Styela clava: one gene and its partner. The protein of the gene in region 1 interacts with the protein of each later gene in a pairwise test. Links are inferred from orthologs where the notes say so. Each region holds a gene or a part of one and is shown in the gene's direction. Other genes may lie near its edges.

What was found. The genes of interacting proteins can lie anywhere in the genome.
Region 2: the proteins of huntingtin-like (region 1) and ubiquitin-conjugating enzyme E2 K-like interact in binary tests that used the Homo sapiens proteins (3 or more experiments, as listed by UniProt). The link is inferred for Styela clava from reciprocal best matches to the Homo sapiens genes HTT and UBE2K.

What each region holds. Positions count from the first base shown.
Region 1 is NC_135250.1:24,313,353-24,324,396, reverse strand, and holds the start of huntingtin-like, read left to right. Parts: upstream 1-6,491; 5' UTR 6,492-6,632; exon of another isoform or gene 6,633-6,711; 5' UTR 6,712-9,890; coding exon 9,891-11,044.
Region 2 is NC_135262.1:10,412,990-10,424,246, reverse strand, and holds the start of ubiquitin-conjugating enzyme E2 K-like, read left to right. Parts: upstream 1-6,960; 5' UTR 6,961-7,093; coding exon 7,094-7,150; intron 7,151-7,742; coding exon 7,743-7,830; intron 7,831-8,462; coding exon 8,463-8,604; intron 8,605-9,247; coding exon 9,248-9,411; intron 9,412-9,998; coding exon 9,999-10,066; intron 10,067-10,234; exon of another isoform or gene 10,235-10,448; intron 10,449-10,634; coding exon 10,635-10,706; 3' UTR 10,707-11,257. Other genes in the region: glutamyl-tRNA(Gln) amidotransferase subunit A, mitochondrial-like, read left to right, coding at 4,615-6,189. UniProt on the Homo sapiens protein: Accepts ubiquitin from the E1 complex and catalyzes its covalent attachment to other proteins. In vitro, in the presence or in the absence of BRCA1-BARD1 E3 ubiquitin-protein ligase complex, catalyzes the synthesis of 'Lys-48'-linked polyubiquitin chains.

The sequences.
Region 1 (11,044 bases):
CATGTGCTTTCGTGACGTCTCAATCATGCTACCAATATATCTCATTGCGCTGATTGTGAAGTTAAAATATAGTAACGTACTTACGAATTTGCTGAATTATTTCCACCGTCACTTTTCAATTCGCGTTCTTGAGTGAAGCTGTAGGTACAAGGATAGTAAGGTATTCCAAAATTGGTATTGTTTTAGAAACGTTCTAACTAATGCTCAGACCAGATTGATCAATGATTTTATCGCTTTCTTTAGCGTAAAAAGTTGTATCAGGTAAATAACAAGACTCTTTGTTGAGTGAGCTGCGCGACAAAGGAATATATATATTTGAGGACAAATCAAGTCAGTTTTTAAGCCAAACAAAACAGTCGCGAATCATTTTCGAGTTAGGAATGACAGGCATTTAAAGTATCGGATATATATAAATATAAACATGTTTTCATACACAGTCCAAGTCGGGTAAAGGATCGCCTTAGACATTTTAATTTGTTTCAATGCAGGGGCGAGAATGGCTCAGGAGCCAAGCTACTGCTGATAAGTAAAACATTCGTCGTGGATAGAGGAATCCAAAATTTGAATGTATTGAAGTGTGTGAATAGTACCTGGTAAATTTTTGCTGTTGATATTAGGGTGATTGATGTTGCTGGAAAAAAATCATCTCATTTTTTTGTGCTATCTATTATTATTGAGATACATAATTAATCCGGGATTGTTTTCACATATAAATAAAGACCATGTTGTTGTACTGCCATAGCTAAGTCAATATTTACCCTATTATCACCTTATACATATAGCATTTGTTTTATCAAAAATTTCTTCGAAATTGCACTTATGAGAAAGATGCGCTTGTTTGCCACCAGCAAGTTTTCAAAATCGTACGAGGCTTTCTCTAAGTATAGCCGCTAGTCATCTCCATTTTGGTGCTACATTTTTGATTTCACAATGCACTGAATCACAAAGTCTCACAAAGACAAGTTGTTGCACGAAAACCAAGTTTTGAATGTCAAATTGTGAAACTATCTGATCCCGTTTGCACTTGAAAGCCTACCGTAACTCTAAGAATTTATATTTATTATAGGAGACAAAAAAAAGGAAGAAAAATATTGCATACAACGTATAACTAGACTGCATGGAGAATACAGATATGAAGCAAACTTCTTCGGGCCTGTTCATTCATCTTCTATTGTTAGAATAATCTAACGTTATAATATATACGACGAGAATTATCCTAATTCAACCTTCACTTTTCAATTCTCAATGTTGTTGTACTTTACAGGCCTTCTGTTTCAAGTTGTAGGTCAACAAACATAGAAGGTCACGCCAGGTAAGGCCAAGCCAACAAGAGGCTGTTACAGCACATTATTCCAAATATAGGTAACGAAATGTTTAAATTCTCGCCTACACCATCTTTATAAACCGTAACTGTTATAAAACTGTTTTTTTAGAGCTGTAAGTTCGTTATGGTTTTCCAAAAGAAGGATATATATTTCAGACAGTTGAATAAAAAAAACATGTTTTCGAAAATTTCGAACCTCATCTCTTCCGAGAATTTTTATATATGTGTGTTAGGAAAGATGTTGCTAAATAATTTCTTATCTGTATAGTTTTTGAACTTATTATGATCCATACGCTATTTAAGAATGTTAACTTTTTCTTATTGGCAATGTGGTTCGAGATCAGATAAAGTCGCCCAAACCAGAATGATGCATGGTAATAAATAAGGTTGTTATAGAACAGATGGATATGTGTGTTCATAAGTGATATTGTTAAATATTTTTCAGTTCTATTTTTGTGACTCAAATTGTAAGTGTAAATCTAACTAGCGGTGGTCATTTTGTATCTTAGTCAATTTTAGTTTGCTGTTAAAATGCCAGAAAAAGATGACATATAGCTGCAGGTACATTTTAATGGTGGTGGTTGAAAATTCTTAGTATTGAAAATAAAAATTATTTGATGATAGGCATAAAAATTTCGCATAAGTAAACTAGTAAAGTATATACATATGTAGGAAATATTCTGGGGACAAAAACCGGGGTAACATCTATTAGCATTACGTAAAATACAAAAACATTTTTAGAATTAACATTTAGTGCGTGGTGTTTTTAGGACAAAACTTATCAATCAAAATATTACATAATATGTAATTTGGTATTTGCAATTAAGATTCCGTCTTGGTCAGAGACCAGTGCCCATTGAAACACTACCTGTGCCCTATTCTTCTGTCGAAATTCCACTTGCAAATATGAAGTCTATTTGTTACTCCAGCTAGAGCAGTGCTTTCCGAACTTTCCGTGTAGATAACATACCTGTACTTTTAATTAATTTCATTCGAATTAAATTTCAACTGTCCTCATACCGGACATGGGTCATGTAACCGGAAGTAAGGCTGTTGTTCACTTATCCGTATGATAAAGCCACATTTTCGTTCTTTCTTTTTCCTAGTGCCCTGGGATAAACGCTTTTCGTCGCCAATTATTCAGTACCGGTAGCCATTGTTGAAGCTGACTCTTCTTTTTTATTTTTTTATTGGATTTTTATAAACTAAAAAATATTGCAATAAACAATATGACTCTTCACAAATGTGCAGTACCTTGCGACCAGTTACCGGCGACCAGTTCGGTACCGGTACCTTCGCAGTACAGTACAGTTTACCGTACCGTCAAATCACAGTCTACAAATATATTCACACCAATGACATTAAACAACATGATGCGCAACTCCGGCATTTTTGTCCGAAGATCGTATTCGATAGCACGCTCCAATGCACATACTTGACGAGACGAAAACGAGCGGATGTGTGCTGCTTTCAAGGCGTAGCACGAATGGTGTTCGTGCCTGCTTTGACAGTTGTTGTCGATTTTAATGATATTTTTGAAAGTTGGGGTAAAAAGAAATCGGTAAAAGGTAAGGTGAATACTATTGTTGTATATCACACCCGGGCATCGCACTGTTAAGTACATGTGGGAAAGCCAGCCTTTGTCAAATACTACGAAGTTATTAATTCAGTACGGTACGTAGTTGCCCATTTGCCGAAATTACATATTTACTTACTCCTTATGGTTTCAAATAGTTCATGCACCTCCAGTTAGATTTTTTTTAATCAGTGAGGATATATACTCATTGTTGATTGCTGCTCATTGTAACATACTATTACGCATTCACTTTTATTTGCGTATTTAATCAAAGTGTTAACAAGTTCACCTAACATGTCACTCATACCGGTCTATATTGTATAGTCTGATTTCTCAAGTATTTGGAGCCACGAATGCTTGTAATTTTCTGACTAAACCCTTTTATTAGTTGGTTTATTTTCCAAAATTCAGTAAAATATTTTTTAAATAAAACATGAGATATTGGATTTATTAGCTTTTCCATTCTGAATCATATAGACTGCTTTATTTATTCTTAACGAAAATTAATAAATCTCCTCTTTTTCTTCAGATGTGAAAGTTGTGGACAAACCTGTCTAAGCATTGTGAGACTCTTGCAGCACAAGAGGCAATAGCAGAAATAGTAAGTATATCAATCAAGAAATTAAGCCGACATAAAGCAAAACTTTCAACTATTCGTCTAATCTCAATTTCCTATTATTTATTCACAGGACAACTATAGCAGACGTGGAGATATCAGAAGTCTGGCGACATATCAGTGACAGTGTGATTCCAAGAAATATAATGCAATTGAAAATAGAAAATTGCAATAGAAAAACAACCTATGGAGGCATGCAAAGACATTTGACCCTCCGGTAGAGTTGTGTATGGCCCCCACATCCTGCAGGGCTTTAGGAAAATAACTAAAAATTCCAAAGCGTAAGATTGCATAAGCGGTCTTATTTGTAAAAAGGCACAAAACACGCCAGACATACTTAAAACAGCTTTGGAAATGAGGATTACGGGTACCTCACTGCACCTGTGTTATATTTGGTTCATCAACTTTTGGTAGTACTATAGAAGAAATTCCGAAAGGGGTATAATCATCATTCATGATAAAATACTATAATATATTTTTTGAACAACTTCAATCTAGACCAGGGATCTCAAACTCGCGGCCCCAGAGAACTTCCAGTGCGGCCCTCGAACGCTTAACAATAATTGTAATAGTATTTTGGAAGTTTTTTTTTTATCTAAATGTAATAGAATTTTCAAACCTTCTAAAGTGAAATTGATTATTCACACAGAAAACAATTTACTGAAAGTAGTTTTGGAATATTAATTTTTTTTGTCCACATTTTGACCCAATTAAGAATACACATCAAGCTAGCAAAAGAATACTTGAATAAAACACTTGAGTAATTAAATTAAACGCAAAGTACACGAAGAAGGTGGCATTTTCGAAGAAAATGGGAGTTGTAACATTTCTGCTCTTCACAAAATTCTGAAGCACATTGTTTAATTTGTCATATTTCCATCAATACAATCAAAAAACACAATAAGCTCAGCAGTCAATATGACAAATTCGAAGACCAACTTCGAACAGAAAATTTCCATGTGTTTGTATATTAATATAATTATACAACGACTTAGTTACTAAAAATCAAAATCAATAATAATTCAAGCAATCCTATGCCACGCAATGTAGTGCGAAATGTCTTGTCGGAAAAATCTGTCATTTGTTTTTTTACTGATCTATACATGAAATGATAAAAGTAACTTTTTTGCATTACTGGAATTAATTAAACATTCGTAAAGATCCAGATAAACCCATGATCATGTGGCCTCGTTAGTTAGAGTTGGTACTATAAAATCATTTCAGACTGGCCTTAGTATGCTGGTGACACAAAAAAGATGCCAAACGCCAGGACGAATGTAATTATTAAAACATTGAGTTTATACTGTAGTATTTTTGTTAATTTTAGGTTCATATATTTAGATTAAGTTATTTTCAGTGTATGTATTTTTCTTTCCTTATTCAAAGCTTGTTCAAATATGATTTTGATGGTTGTACATAGAATTTTACGATTTTTTATAATAAATACTGTAACTTGCAAATGTTGCAATAATAGTGGAATGCAAATATTAATATGTAATTGCATTTGAAATTGAAGAAAATAATCCGCTATCGCGTTTGTAATCTTTTCTGATAAAAAAAAACGTCTATGATGTCCAGAATTGCTCTTTACAGCTTGCCTGTTATTCCAGCTTTCCAAGTAAGCAAAACTTCTTAGATATAGAGATTATTTTGTTTCGTTACAGGCGCAAAAAGGCAGGTACTACACGTAAAAAAGACGCCGAGTAGCAAAAGCGAGCGGAAAACGGACGCGAAAGGCGACGAGAAATATGTGCATTGGAGCGTATCATGAAATACAATGTTTTGCCTGTAGTCTTATGGAGTGACGTCAGAGTTGCCTATCATGTTGTTTAATGTCATTGTTCACACCAAGCGAAGCAGTACAGTAGGACACAAAATGGCGTCCGACATCATGGCAAACAAAAACAAATATCACAGAGCTAACAGAAATATTTAAAATGAATAAAAGTAATAGCCTTCTGGGAAAAAATTTTATCTTCAACCAATTAAAATTTCAAAGCAATTGGTCCAGTACCGGTATTCGAAGAGAAAAGCGGTTTTTTAATATTTCCACTAGGTGTGTTATTCTGTGTCAAACAACAAGAACAACATAATATTGAAACGATCGTTATGTCCACTACGTGTTCAAAAATGTGAAAATCATAAAGTCTCACCGGTACCGGTACCAGTAAAGAAAACTCACAACGCAATCGCTCTGTGATTAGCGTTTACTCAGTACAGCAGTAGTGCCGACTGAAATGATACCGGTATTAGTTGTAAGCCGTTACGGTACGGTACGTAAAACCGGCTAACTTCGGATGCTTTGTAACTTCGGATGAAATTTTCAATCATTCATATCTCAACTAAATTTCGTCGTATTGCGCTTCTGTCGGTTTCTATAGTAAGGCCTTACATATCTGAATCTGCCGTAGCCTCCAATCGCTCGATTTGATTTTTTATCATTCAAAAAATCATATTTTACCAAAAAAATGACACCGTTTTTTCGAGCGGCTCAAATCGTGACTTCTACAGACGCTACCTTCGTCAAATCACCGCCAAGCGCTAGAGAGCGTACACAATGTATACAAAAAAATACAGTGATCACAAGGTGTCGTACGAGATTCGAGTGAAATCGGTTATTTTGATTTAAAAATTACATTAAAATATTGACGTTTTGATGATTACGTACAGCGTGACGTCAACGACGCAAATCCCGTTCTCTCTCTTCGTAGCCGACGTCACTTTGCGTAGCTCGTGCGTTACTCGCTGCGACATTTGAACGCCAGACATCGCGGCGCCCAGTTTTGTGAAATTTAAAAATTATGCTTATACATGATCCTAGTCACTAAATCCTACAAAAACATCACTATCGTCTCAGTCATATGTTGTTTATTTAAAAATATGGGTATGCATACGCTTAATGCATATGAAATTTGTCGATTTTTGTTTTTGCATACTTCCTCCGACACCGATAGATACCGTAGCAATTGGTAATACGTTAGGCCTGAAACATGTATCTATACGATCATAATGATTAGATATGTCTGTTTACGATCGGCAGATGATAATAATATCTTTAACAGGTGAGCGTAGAACTCTACATACATGCACACAGCAGGAGGTTGGACCACATACAGGTGAGGCGCAAAATGAAAAAAAGTGGCAAAGTTTCTTTTTGCCGTTTTTATCCGTTTATTGTCATTTGACTTTATTAAGTGAAACGAAAGCGAGGATCGAAAGTCACACCGGGCAGGAACCTCTGCCGAGCCGATCAACGGGGAGCTCTGAGAAAATCAGAAAATATGAAAAGTGATAATCAAGACGAAACCTGCTCTGCTTGTGGATTATGGAATGAACCAAATGGAAGTACGGAAATTGAGGATGAATGGGTCGGTTGCGAAAGCTGCAGCGAAACACATTGGTTCCACAAGACCCGTCTAACCCATGTGGAAATGATTACAATTCTTGATTTTGCCAGCGTTTCCTTCAATTCATCTGTTTATTTTTAACTGTCGATTTTTTGTTCATACCTTACTTGTTCCATATTGCTTTTTGATTTCAATTTTTACTTTTGCCAGTGTTTCATTCGATTCATCCGTTTATTTTTAATTGTCTAATTTTTGTTCATTCTTTACTTGTTCCATATTGCATTTCAATTTCAACCTACACCAGTGTTAGGTACTTTCAATTCTTCCGTTTTTTTTTTTTGCTAATCCTTTTATTGCATTGAAAATAAACGATCATAAAAGAACGAACTAGCATTTTGCAATAAATTAGGAGTAGTTAGTGAAATATATACGAGTTATAATAAAGGACACAAGAATAAATAGTTAAGCTTCGCGAAGCGGCAAGAGTAACGTCACGTACAAACGTCAGTATTCAACACGCAAGACAGGTCGTGGCGGCGTAAGGTCTATTCAGCGACGTTGTCACGCGTCATTGCTTACGCAGACATTTCTCTCTCACGACGAGTTGACGCAAAGAGAAAAGTGGCCATCCGAAGTTAGATAATTTTAGAATAGACGAATAAAGACAATAATTTCAATGAAAAAAGGCTTTGATGGATATGGAACCGACTTTATCAAGACGAGAATAGCCACAATGTATTATATTCCAAATTTGGCTTCAGTTGAACAACATGCGGCGGAGATATTGTTCAAAATATAGTGAAATCATCCGAAGTTAGCCGGTTTTACGGTACCGGTTTGGCGCAACATACAGCTGTACAGACATGCCGTGGCCCGTGGGTAGGCTAATTTATTGGGTAAGACTGCGTTTGGTATAAACAAATAGGACCGGTACCGGTAATGGTTTAACGTTACAGCGTTAAGTGTAGGCAATAAAGCATAGGATTTACATACCGGTATTTCTCTATTTACCGTATCCCTGGGGAAAGGAAAGGGATAAGATGGCTTAGTGATCAATTAGAAATTTCCCTTGTGTTCTGTTTTACATATACCATAGCATTGGTTCCCAACCGCGGCGGTGTGGCTCAACGGGCTAAGCGTTAGGAATACGCTCGCCACCGCACCTCTAATTACTCTGCGTCGGTTCGCAGGTTCGAATCCCATGCAGGGATGGTCCATGGCAGGGATTAATATGATAAACCCAATGAAAAAGCTTGATTCAAATTGTGATTCTACTTTACAGTCCAGATTTAAAAAAGAATCACTGTCACAATTTTGGATATCTCTTGATAACAAATACCCATCGCTAAGTAATCGAGCAATCAAACTGTTGTCCGTATTTTCAACGAGTTACTTATATTTTTATTACTTTTAAATGAAAATATTTTCATCACTAGCTTTAATTAAAGCGAAGCAAGGAAATTGGTTGCACGCCGCTGCAGGGCTACGTGTTGCAGAAACTTCCTTGAGGCATCGTTTGCAATCCCATATTGGAAACTAAACAGCAGCAAAATTTTTAGTTAATTGATGTTTTTTTAAGTGTGCCTTTTTGTCTAGATGCATATTGAGTGCCCGACGTTGCATTGTATTACGCAAATATGCGATATTCTTTTATGTTCCGGTCATTTCAATTTTTGCCGGTCCTCGAGTACATTTAATTTAATTTAACCGGTCCACCAGGGTAGAAAGGTTGGGAACCACTGTACTATACCGGTAGTACCGGTATATTTGGTTACTGGCTTAAATATGTTAGGAATTCCATGAACTGACTAAGCTGCATTTAATCTTTTGTCATGCTGGTGATACGGTACATTTTTACCACATTTTTTGAGTTCACCATCCACTAATACCGTATACAGCATAGCTTGTATATATAGACTATATATCTTTATTTTTGCTCTTTTCATATATCGAATGTTTGTATATATTATTGTTTAACATCATCTAAAGCCCACAGAATTTATTGTTTAAATGAGTTTTCAACAAAATATGCCCTCACCCAATGTGAAGTTTTTCTGGGATTACAATATATCGAATTTATTAATGTGTTATTTGCCAGACCAACATCATAATCAGCAACATCAGCAAATAGGGTAGGAGTTGACTTTGATGACTCCTATGCATGCCGCATGGGCGTATCGCTCCCACCTGTCCATACCAAAGCAATTTTTATTTTAATTTTGCCAAATTTTTTTCTAAAGTTGACTGTTTGTATTCTGGTTGACTTGATTAGTATTGTACTTGATGAAAGTGTAGTATAATATATATAGAGTTTTTACACATGCCCTCTGAACTATACAATGAATCTAATGTAAAGTGTTGAATGGTAGAAAGTTTTTCTTTATCAGCCGACTCGTTTTTCATTTTTCTGTCTTTATTTTATAATTTCATAGCGTGATAATCCATGCTGACAGTTTGATCACAGCGTAAATAAAATGGTCGGGAGCCTCGGTGACCTGTGAAGGTCTTGCATACTGACCATCACAATTTAATGTTTGAATATCCACTGCACTGTATTTTCATAAAAATATGTACTGTTATCCTTTTTTAACATTGTTTTGTGGAAATAAAGTTTTTCTCTCTCTAACCATATGGCGAACCACGGCCACTCGTCCGACTACCATTCCATGTCGGGTATGGAATGGTTAAGCTGTCTTATCGACTTTCCTCTCTCCGGGGAGAAATATGTAAATCCTGTCCTACAGTCCTAATATCTGGTAATAATATAGGCAAAAATTAAAATTCGGGACTTGTAAATTTCAAGGTATTACAGTACCGGTATCGCGCTATGTGAACACTTTTGTCATTGTTTTTGATTATGTACCGTACTATTCTCAGTTAGCTGGGATAACTCATTTCACACTTTATCATAAAATCATTTTTTTCTTCAGTTTCACAATGTAATTCTTTATAACTATCATTTTCCAAGTAATAAAGTAGATGGTACTAGTAATTTTGTGACTGGAATTCTTACAAGAGTTTATATAAATGGAGAAACTTGTTAAATCTGTGAATAATATAAAACAGTATTATGGCGGAGAGACAACAGATGCAAATAAAAAGGAGCAGATTCCCATGCCGACGAAGGCAGAAAGACAGGAATGCTGTAAAACAATGGCGGAAAGCATACTGTCCAGTCCTGTGAAAGGCAATAATGAATATTCTGGATTATTGGGTGTGACTATTGAAATGCTATTGTTGTGTTGTCAGGATGCTGAGGCTGATGTTAGAATCGCAGCTGAGGAATCTATTAATAGAATCATAAAAGGAACAGAAGAACTGCATTTTGGGAAAGTTTTGATTGAGTTTTACAAAGAAATTAAAAGAAACGGATCAAGTCGTAGTTTGAGAACTGCGCTTGTACGTTTCTCCAGTTTGGCACACAGGATTCGTCCAAGCAAATGCAGGCCATATGTTGTTAGTCTTCTTCCACCATTTATAAAAATATGCGAACGGAATGACGAAAGCATACAAGAATGTTTATCTGCATCTGTCTCTAAAATATTTCCTTTAATTGGGTCGTTTGCCGCGGAAGCAGAATTGCAAAGTTTTATAGACGCACTGATGAAAAATTTATCGAGCCCCTCTGCAGCGATTCGAAGGACATCTTCGATATGTATTTACGAAGTTGTGAGCAACTCAAGTAAAAAGCAAGTTATGTTATTCAACATTGTTTCTAGTATACTTGGATCATTTTCAACAAAAAATTTTGATGTCAATTTCATATTAGGAAGTCTTATCATATTACGGTATTTGATACCTCTGTTTGCAATTGTAGGGACAAAAATTACAAGAAGAACTGGCAGTTTTGGTTCAGATAAAGATTCAAAAATTGACGTTGTTTTCGATGATATAATTGTCCAAATTTTCGAGCTTTGTGTGCATTTTTCTTGCTTCAAAGAAGCAAATGTTGTAACAGCTTCACTCGAGACTTTACAAATTTTGTTGAAGTTGCCATCTGCGTCACTAAAGGAGTTACTGGAAGCAAAGCCTATCAAAGAAACAGTTTTTTCAAAGTCATTAGTGACATTTTTGAAATCGAAAGGAATAAAAAAGCAAAGTTCCACGAACCAGGACCGAGATTTTGATAGCAGTGGTACGAATGCTTCTCAAACTATAGAGACACCAGTTTCTGAAAATAA
Region 2 (11,257 bases), on another chromosome or scaffold:
AAGATAAATATCAGAATACAATTAATTTGGCTTTGAAATCACTCCTTAATGTCATTAAAATCTGTCGCTGATGTGAACTCATAGTTATATCAATAATATGAAACTTCGATCTCCGCAGACCCACGGGAATTAATAGTTGCGCAAAAGAACAAATGGCGGGAATTTAAAAACGTTCAGGGGGACAAAATATCAGCGCATATGACGAAATTAACCAGTAAAAATCGCTTTGTTGCCGATTTTAAATGTTTCTATTAATTTCCAAATCTACCTCCGACGTTCTGGACCCTGCTGCGTATAAAAAATATTCGGTATTGTACTATTCGGTATTTGTTAAGAATATTCGAATTATTTGATTCGAAAAAAATATTCGATTTTGCCCACCCTTTTCTTGGCCGCCATAAGAGTATAAAAACACGAAAAATTGAGAGTCGTCGAGAAAGAGCTGCGTGTTTGTCTCTCTCAATTAAATTCCAGCCAGAATAAAAAATTGAAACTCATCGAAACAGGCCCAGATATTACATTAAAATACCATTTCTGTTCCTAGCTCATCGGTAGCTCTGAATCGGAATATGTGTAACGTCTTTTCCAGCTGAAGTTGACAAGCTAATATTAAATCTCGTTAATTTATTTTTTTCCGAAATGATCGATGTCATTTAATTGCATAATATAGTTTATTTCCAAAAATCTCATTTGGTGTTCCGTCACAATTTTAGAATAAAAAAAGTGTTCCGCGATACAAAAAAGGTTGAAAATCACTGGTGTACGAGGTTAGGGATCAGGTTGTGCGACATCTTGGTGCGCATACTTCAGTAGTACCAATATTTCAATTTCAACGAAGTTTAAATTAAATTTCAATCAAAATTAAATGTTTTCTAGAAGTCGGTATCTGATCGTTTATCAAATCATGTCAAGGCGTACCATAACTTAGTCGCAGAGAAGGTGTGCTGTTGCATATTTTTAACAAAATTGCAACGAACTTTCGGGTATACGACCCATTTAAATTTGCGTGTGATAGAAACTTAGGTCAGTCACTCAACTGACAGATTGAAGGAAATTAATTACCCACACAGCACGTCAGCATCTCGAGTGATGATCAGGGTGTGTTGCGCTGAACATGAAAATGAATGAAGGCAGATCAATAAAAGTAAATAACGAAAAATTCATTTATACATTCCCGTCTGGCAATTGGTGTTATTTGGAGTGTTTGTTTTTCTTCGCTAAACGGCTCTCTTTCTTTCGAATCGCGTAAATCAGATTCGAAAAAAATTGCGATTTGAATCGATTCAATTCATAAATCTAAAAGGGGCATGCCTACTCATCAGTCCGCTTTCAGGGTCTTCATCCAATCTCACTTCCGTCGGGATATGTTTTGGCTATTTAACTCTCCCAATGTTCGGTATTTTAGTGACTTCAACCGCCTCAAAATTGATAGGACAAAATATCATCTAACCCTAACGTACTTCTTCCTTATAGTGATTAGATTTTTAGTGACCTCAGCCACCTCACCACCCGTCGGAAGAAATTCCATCCACTTCTTTCTGTTAGTGTTCAGCTTTTCAGTGACCTCCGCCACCTCATTATCCGTCGGAAGAAATTTCATCCATTTCTTCCTTTTAGTGTTCAGCTTATTAGTGACTTCAACCACCTCATTATTCGCCGGAAGAAATTTCATCAACTTCTTCCTTTTACTGTTCAGCTTTTTAGTGACTTCAACCACCTCATTATTCGTCGGAAGAAATTTCATCAACTTCTTCCTTTTAGTGTTCAGCTTTTTAGTGACTTCAACCACCTCATTATTCGTCGGAAGAAATTTCATCCACTTCTTCTTTTTAGTGTTCAGCTTTTTAGTGACTTCAACCACCTCATTATTCGTCGGAAGAAATTTCATCAACTTCTTCCTTTTAGTGTTCAGCTTTTTAGTGACTTCAACCACCTCATTATTCGTCGGAAGAAATTTCATCAACTTCTTCCTTTTAGTGTTCAGCTTTTTAGTGACTTCAACCACCTCATTATTCGTCGGAAGAAATTTCATCAACTTCTTCCTTTTAGTGTTCAGCTTTTTAGTGACTTCAACCAGTGACTTCGACCACCTCATTATTCGTCGGAAAAAATTTCATCCACTTCTTCCTTTTAGTGTTCAGCTTTTTAGTGACGTCAATCACCTTATTATTCGTCGGAAAAAATTTCATCCACTTCTTCCTTTTAGTGTTCAGCTTTTTAGTGACTTCAACCACCTCATTATTCGTCGGAAGAAATTTCATCCACTTCTTCTTTTTAGTGTTCAGCTTTTTAGTGACTTCAACCACCTCATTATTCGTCGGAAGAAATTTCATCCACTTCTTCCTTTTAGTGTTCAGCTTTTTAGTGACTTCAACCACCTCATTATTCGTCGGAAAATATTTCATCCACCTCTTCCTTTTAGTGTTCAGCTTTTTAGTGACTTCAGCCACCTAACTACCCGTCGGAAGAAATTTCATCCACTTCTTCCTTTTAGTGTTCAGCTTTTTAGTGACTTCAACCACCTCATTATTCGTCGGAAGAAATTTCATCCACTTCTTCTTTTTAGTGTTCAGCTTTTTAGTGACTTCAACCACCTCATTATTCGTCGGAAGAAATTTCATCCACTTCTTCCTTTTAGTGTTCAGCTTTTTAGTGACTTCAACCACCTCATTATTCGTCGGAAAATATTTCATCCACCTCTTCCTTTTAGTGTTCAGCTTTTTAGTGACTTCAGCCACCTAACTACCCGTCGGAAGAAATTTCATCCACTTCTTCCTTTTAGTGTTCAGCCTTTTAGTGTTTTTTAATTTTTCACCTTTGGGAACACTTCAACTTCCGTTTTCCCTCCACTTCATCCGTTTCTTCCTTCAGCCTTTTAGTGCTGTCCTTACTGCCTTAGTCTTAACTGTATACCGGTATCTGTAAGTGCTTCATGTTATATGTCAAGCTCAAAACAACATAATACCAACCAAGGATTATAAGACTTGCTGAAAAGAAGTTTCTCATTGATGTAAACTTTGATTAAATATCTATGACCCACCATAATAAAAGTATAATTTTGACCCATCCAGTAAAAAAGGTTTGCCATCCCTGATATAGACTAACATTGCCAATATTGCTGTATTATCTAATTTGCCAATGTTACATACTTATTTCTGGTCGAAAATACTCTTGCCACCGCACCTCTGCACCGCACCACTTATATATGAGGGCTACTTGTATATTTGCAAAAACTGCCTTTTATTTGTCAGGCTGATTTATTGCTGCTCAAAATAATAGTCATCGTTTACCTATTTAAATATTGGGTTTAAGTTTTTAATAGGCCACAGTTGTTGTCTTGTTTGAAAGGCTTACTAATAATAGTTATTCAACCTAAATTGTATTTATATATATGACTATCGATCGTATGTTTACCAAAATTGTTTCTTAATTGGGGTATATAATATTTTTTCAGTCACCTATTTGCCATAAATTTTTCTTGTTACTTATCGATTTTAATCGGTAAGTATGTTGATAGGTATTTGTCTGTCTGTCTGTTAGATGCACGCGATATCTCACGAAAACGAGATCGAATCTGCTCCAGATTTTTCATGTGCATTCATCATATCTCGGACCAGAAGCCTATTGATTTTGGGCGAAGTATATCGTATAATTAGCGAGTTATTAATCAATAGTGATGGGACACAAGTTGTCACTATGGAGTAAGAGCGTTTTTTTGGGGGATCCCCTGACTTTTGATCGATAAGTCCTCGGTCTCTGACCGATATTCTCGTTGGAAGGTTGATTCCTCTCTTGAACCAATTGTTTTACATGAGTACCATGTTGTTTATCTCCTGAAATTCATTCGTACATGTAAGGCTGGCTCCTTGCGTCCAAATCTACATTGAGTATAGTAGTCCAATAGCCAAAATTGTTTTTTTTAATTTGTGGGTCTTACTCCTCACTTTCAAATCTCATCATTTAAAAATTGATTTCACGGAAAAAAAATTAATTACTTTTATTTACTTCATTTTTTTGTTTGTTTTTTCAAATTTTGTGTCGTGAACTTCAACCATTTCTAATAATCTTATTTTACTGTGAATTTATCAGCGTAAACTTGGAGGGGGCTGACTTCGATGACCGCATGGTCGTATCGCTCCTTCCAGTCTACACCGAAAAAAGCGTACTTTTTTATAGCCACTATTTATTTATTATTATGACTGTTTTTTTCTGGTTGACGAAATAAATCTCTCTCTCTCTCTCTCTCTCTCTCTCTGACCCTTGATTGTCGCCGTAGGATGACTCACATAACTGCTGATTGTTACGGCTACCTCGGGTCTGGTGGTGACTAATCACAGTGTTAGTGATTCTTCACCTATAATATTTCCCACAACGTTCAATCATCCAATGTGTTGATACGTTTAGCAGTGTGACGGCTAGCATTGCCTTGTTTACTACATGGTATGCTTATTATACTTTGTTTACTGCTGTACTGCATTGCTATGGATGTTTAAAGGGGTAACAAACGAAAAATTACGAGTTATGTTTATTTAATTTATGAATTCATTCATAATTCATGAATTATTTTAATCAAATTTCTATAATGACAGATCATACTTGAAATCAGGATAACAAATGCATTTCAAGGGCATAAGAGCGATTTCTAGATCACTTCAAAAAAATGAAACATCAAAAAGTGATATATTCAAATCATCATTAACTAGAATAGATGAAACTAAGCATCTCAATGCTTTCATCACAGTTGCAAGAAAGGCTGGTAACAATGAGGTCACCAATCAAAAAAATCACATACTGACCGGAACTACATTCTCACTGAAGGATAATTATTCTTCCGAAGGTATACTCACGACATGTGGATCTAAAATGTTGGCAAATTATAAACCAACATACAATGCTACTGTACTTAATAAATTATTAAACCATGGCTCACAACTCATTGGAAAAAACAACATGGATGAATTTGCCATGGGGTCGGGATCTATAGAATCTATCTACGGTCCTGTGAAAAATCCTTGGTCACCTGACGTATTATTGAATCCGTCTAGCAAAGATTGGAGAGTTGCTGGGGGCAGTTCAGGTGGGGGTGCTGTGGCAGTCGCAACTGGATGTTGCCATTTTGCTCTGGGATCGGACACCGGCGGTTCTGTGAGAAATCCAGCTTCTTATTGTGGGGTTGTTGGTTTAAAACCTACTTATGGATTAATATCTCGTCATGGTTTAATTCCTCTTGTTAATTCAATGGATTGTCCTTCCATTTTTGCAAGATCAGTAGAGGATGCTGCTATTGTTTTAGATACATTAAAAGGGAGAGATATCATGGACTCCACTTCAATAGAAAGCAAGAAATTGAAAATATGCTTAAATGAAAATTATGATATTTCTGTCAAAGGATTAAAAGTTGGTATACCAAAGGAATGCCTAGTTCATGGCATGTCTCAGGAGGTTGTAGATATGTGGCGATGGGCAGCGGACCAGTTTGAAAATGCTGGTGCTGAAGTAACACTTGTGAGCTTGCCCCATATGAAATATTCAATAATTTGCTATCATATCCTCGGTAATGTGGAAGTTGCCTCAAATATGGCAAGATTTGATGGTCTTAAGTATGGACATAGGTCGTCTATAAATGAATCTACATATGCAATGTACGCAGTTTCTCGGAGAGAGGGATTCAATGATACTGTGCGAAGTAGAATTCTTAGTGGAAATTATTTTCTTTTAAAAGATAATATAGAAAAGTATTTTTATAAAGCGCAAAAAGTGCGGAGACTTATATTAAAAGATTACCAGAAAGTTTTTGGAGCACATAACTTGTATACAAGTTGTGATAGTGATGATTCTAATTCATCTGGTATTTGCGATGTTCTCCTTGCCCCCACTGTAATTTCTGATGCGCCATTATACTCTGAATTTATAACGGAGGACAATAGGACGCGATCAGCTGAGCAAGATGTATTAACTCAAGCTGCAAATATCGCTGGTGTTCCTGCCATAAATATACCCACTCGATTATCTAGAAATAATATGCCCATTGGACTCCAAATTACTGGTAGACACTTTAGTGAGCCAAAAATTTTGAAAGCCGCTGCTTTTCTTGAGAAAGTAGCACAGTTCCCTAATTTGGAACAACATTTTACAACACAACTTGACTCTTCCAATGCTAGTAAACCTATTTTACAACAGATGTCTTGAAGTGTTCCCTTTAATATATTTGTTTCAAAGCAGTTTCTGATTTGTCATTAGTAATATCATGGAAAGTGTGTTCGTTGGGAGTAGAGTGGTCTTGAAAATTAATTGAGATGGGGTGATAACGTGATATTGTCGAAACTTGTGTCTGGAGTATTCTTTGGCAACCTATGGTATTTTCTATTTCTGAGAGCCTTTTATTACTATCAATGCATTGAAGTTGACTATTAATAATAATATTGTGTTATTGACCAATTTAAAATTGTTTTCTACCTATTTAAAATAATGAGGTTCAAGACAACTTATTCGATTAGTTGCAAGTATTCGAAAAAGCTCATTTTTAATTACCTACTCGCAACTGAAAATAAGGGCCATTTAGTTAGGTTCTCATTGAGGGGTATTGATATTTACTTGTCATAGTCAATTTTATTTTTCCCATCCATCAAAAAATTGGCTCTTGTGCCAATGTGATATTATCGATGGTATTACTATTTCAAAATTTTGACACTGATTTATTAACAAAATTGCCAATAAGCAATTGCGGTAAAATTTGGATAGGGTGTCTCTTCTGTTTTTTGTTTTTTGCACACAAGAAGGATTGAGAATGTGGGCTGAAAGAGAGTCTAATAGATCTTTGAGTCTGACAGTTTGGTAACAGAAAAAAGGTTGGAAACCACTGTTCCAAACTATTAGTCTTTTTTGTTGATGAGGTTCTTTTTGTAATTGACTTATTAAGTTTTTTGTAATTGACTTTTTGCATTATGCGGTTTATGAAAATATTGTTAAAAGTCCGAGTTTATCGCACATAATTGAACCACACTTTTTCATTTTTCAGTAGATAATTTTCTTTAGTGATTATCTTGAAGCAAACTATATTTCATAGAAGTTTAATAAAGATCCAAACTTAGGAATGAGCAGCATAGCTGTTATGAGGATTAAGAGAGAGCTCAAAGACGCTGAAGATGAGGTATGCCAATCATGATTTAAGTAGAAGCAGTAGAGGGGATAATTAATACCAATAACTGTCAACCATTTATTTACCATATTATTAAAATTCAAAATTTAGAAAAATGATAAGATGATTGGTAGCTGGAACCACTAAAATTTCTGGTAGGTCAGGCTCTACTTCCATCTAACATGGTAAGCTCGGCTCCTCCAGTACTGGTTCCAAATCTTTCAAATTTGATCGATATTTTGTTTTAATAAGATAAGTTAGTGTCGAAAAATATTTCACCACATCCTCTATTGAGCCCTTTCACGACCCGCCGTTGGCTGGGACTCCCAGTTAGAAATGAATGTTTTCTAACATACATGCTATTTTGTGAGAAGAGAATATGTTACTCTCAGTAGAGGTGTGCGAGACTAACTCCCAATCCTTTCTCAATGCCTTTACGCTAGTGGATTCGTATGCGTGTAACGCAAGGATGCTGTAGCATGAATAAAATACCATAATATGTTATTCACTTTTTGGATATTAGTACCAATATTCAATAAGCATTCAATGCATTTTGAACTCTAATATTTACAGCCCTTGATATAAACTGTTATCTGTGTTACAGAAAGATTTGTTTATAACGATCACTTGTGAAAGTAAACTGACAGAATTGAGAGGACAGATAAAAGGCCCACCAGGAACACCTTATGCTGGTATACCCAATTGTTATGTCTATTTTCTAGAGTGCATTGATAAAAATAAATTGCCTATTCGTATGTTTCGTTTTTACATACCAGTAGCTGCCACAAAATAATTGACACAGTTACCTATTCGTATTATATCTCCACTTTTCAGAAGTGGAATTTGCTTTGATATAAATGTAACTCTACAATTAGGGCCCTTCTTTGTAGTTGAAAACACTAGCAAAATGTTGAGATAGTCCTTTGTCAAATTTAGATTATCAATCACATGCTTTATTTAAGCATCAGTAATATTTCTTATTGGAGACACTCACAAATAGTGTCCTTATTTCAATTTTCTTGTTAATTTCTGCCACAATGGCTAATCAGTGAAACGATCTCATAGAAGCTGCATTAGATGTGGCTTATTTCGCAAAATAAATCCAAAAATGAGCATGAAAAATTTGTCAATGAGAAAGTAGCCTATAGAAAGAAATTTTTGGGTTAAAAGTCTGAGAAACATCTAATACTTAGTTCTTTGAAGGCGTTATTCTGATTGCTCCTCAATGCCAAGGCAGTTTTAGTATCTTGTAGTTGTAGACTTTTTTGTTCATGTTGTATTTCATAAATTGTATAGCTTATCTAATTTAGATTGTTTTTTTAAGGTGGAACTTATGATTTGGATATCAAAATTCCAGACACATATCCATTCAATCCACCGAAGATAAAATTTCTAACACAGATTTGGCATCCAAACATTAGTTCTGTGACTGGAGCAATATGTCTCGATATCTTGAAAGATCAGTGGTACGTAGAATGTAAAACATGCTCAAATGATAAAAATAAAAGTTGTAGTTAGACAATAAAAGTCTGGGTCATCAGGGATAGTGAAGAAAAATTCGCAATATTTTCCCAATTGAATAGAGGATGGATGGAAGAGGACCCATCACAGGATAACCGATATGACGACTTTTTCATATGGTAAATCACGTCGGCGCTCCAGAAGTGTGTGTACCAATATGGAGGTAACTAGTTTAGTACGCCCACTTAACATCAAGTTGTGTAAAGGGACTGAAGCCTATAAGCAGGGGGTAAATTCATTTGACTAACACGGACAGTCCCAGTACTCATAATAGAACTAAAATAAGGAAAATCGGAATAAAATTATGGCCTCACTCACCTTAACCTGGTACACACGCTACAGGAGTACCAATCACGTCAGCAAGCAGCAGTCCAGCAATCCTCCAGCACATAATTACCGGTATCCCCTACAGGATCCGAAACTGTGAATGAACCCATGCAAGAGGTTCGATGGCGAGCCTATTCCCAACACTTCGCAAGATGCGCGACTCTGCCGAGCGAACTACAGCGAAATACTCAGCTACTTTGCCGATAGTATATGCATGCAGATAAAGCAGAATAATAATATCCTGTGAATTTTATATTACAGGGCGGCTGCACTTACATTACGAACAGTTTTATTATCCTTACAAGCTTTACTGCAGGCTGCAGAACCAGATGATCCACAAGATGCGGTAGTTGCAAAACAGTTTAAAGATAATCGACATATTTTTAATAAAACAGCATTATATTGGGCGCAACATTTCGCAAAAGGTAAGTTGGTTTATTTGAGCGCAATTTGCAACCAACTCTATCAATTATTCGTTTTCGTTTACACTTTCGTGTATCTTCGTGAATCGATGCGAAGCAAATATAATACTCAATAGCTGATGAATAAACTGAACACATAATGAAATTTAAAAATCTATGACATGGTCATGTTTAACTAAGAACGCATGGAGTAAATAGCTTTCAATGAGGTTGTATTCGTTAATGCAGGAATTATTTGAATGATTCTTACTATTTTTGCAGTTGTTGTGTTTTGTTATGCTGTTAGCCTTCAATTGCTCGACATGGTAATTTTGCCAAATAAAATTATTCCTAAAGTTAAAAGAAGTTTATTGAAGTATCAAATATGGCTAATTTTAATTTTCTGTATTTAGCACGCACCTGCTTCGCAATCAAATATTTTGTTAAACCACAATCACAAATATCACTTGGCTTATTACCTAACCTTTTCTTTTCAAAATACTCTCATCTATCAGTATTCTGAAAAAGCCTGCAAAAAAGATATCTGCTTATACTAAATCAAAGTCAATTACCTAGGACTATTATGAATATTCCATTTACTTTTATTGTAGCACCAGGGAAAAAAGAGGAAAGTTTTGAAAAACAAATACGTACAATCACGGAAATGGGTTTCTTTCAGGTAAGATTCATTTTCATTATTAATTATGTTTTTCGACCCTAATGGAGTCAATGATGGAAAAGGGGTTATTCATGTGCAATTTTTAGCTTCTTGTAATATTGCTAGCCCAAGTATTTCGACTCCATAACCATAATCACGAAACAATAAATAAAACTGATTACAGAATCAAGGGAGAAAAGTATGATCATATCTAATCAGGTAACTGGTAATTTGTTCCTCTCAGCTGTCTCTTATATTAGGTGAATTAGTGATATTGAATGATACCACTGAGATATCCATATGCAGATGGTTGTTCAATGTCATCTACTTCTGAAATCGGCAAACAAGGTGTCACTGACACAACGACTTTGGTAGTCTTCCGTCTGCTTGCGACTCCCGTCAACTGCGGAAAAAATATCTTTTTATTTAAATTGATCGTTTATTATTATATATTTTTAATTGTGTCGTCACAATTTTTCATGCACAACGAAATAAATATCTGAATCTACCAGTCGCCACCAAATTCTTGATCATTCCCAGCTACTGTGCAGTGATATTAATCTTATCATATTTTTCAACATTTTTTTAGAGTGATGCATTGCAAGCACTTTCTGCTCATAATTGGAATATGGAATCAGCAATACAGTATTTAACAAGTTGATTTTTGATTATTATATTTATAAAAAGTTTTTTACGGTATAACTTGATTCATGTTCCAAGACATTTTCCCTTCTACGACAAATGTGTGCCACTGTTTCAAAGCATTGTGGCTATAAGACACTTCTGCAGTCTTTGTTATCATTGGATAACATTTTATGAGGTCACAGTTCTAATATAAAAATTTCAAATTTCTGTTGAAAGAGATACGTTTGAAAGTTGAAAGATGATTTTTGAGTGGTATCTTCAGTTGGTCACTCCACCCTAATATGCATTAAAACATAGTTTCAGACAATACACATGATGTTATGACTCAGATTTTGTTTGTCTTGAGTTACGTTTGAGTGCAGGCTTGTGAATTCAATGTGAGAACATGATGTGATGTCATCGACTGAAAATGGAGTATTCAATAGAGTTTTGGTCCGGCATTTCCTCTACTGCTCATATTTTTTTGGAGTGTTTCATTCATGCATTAATATGGAGCTATATGATAATGAAAAATCGGACCTCCAGAAGTATGCGCACCAAGATGGCGCACAACCTGAACATAGTATG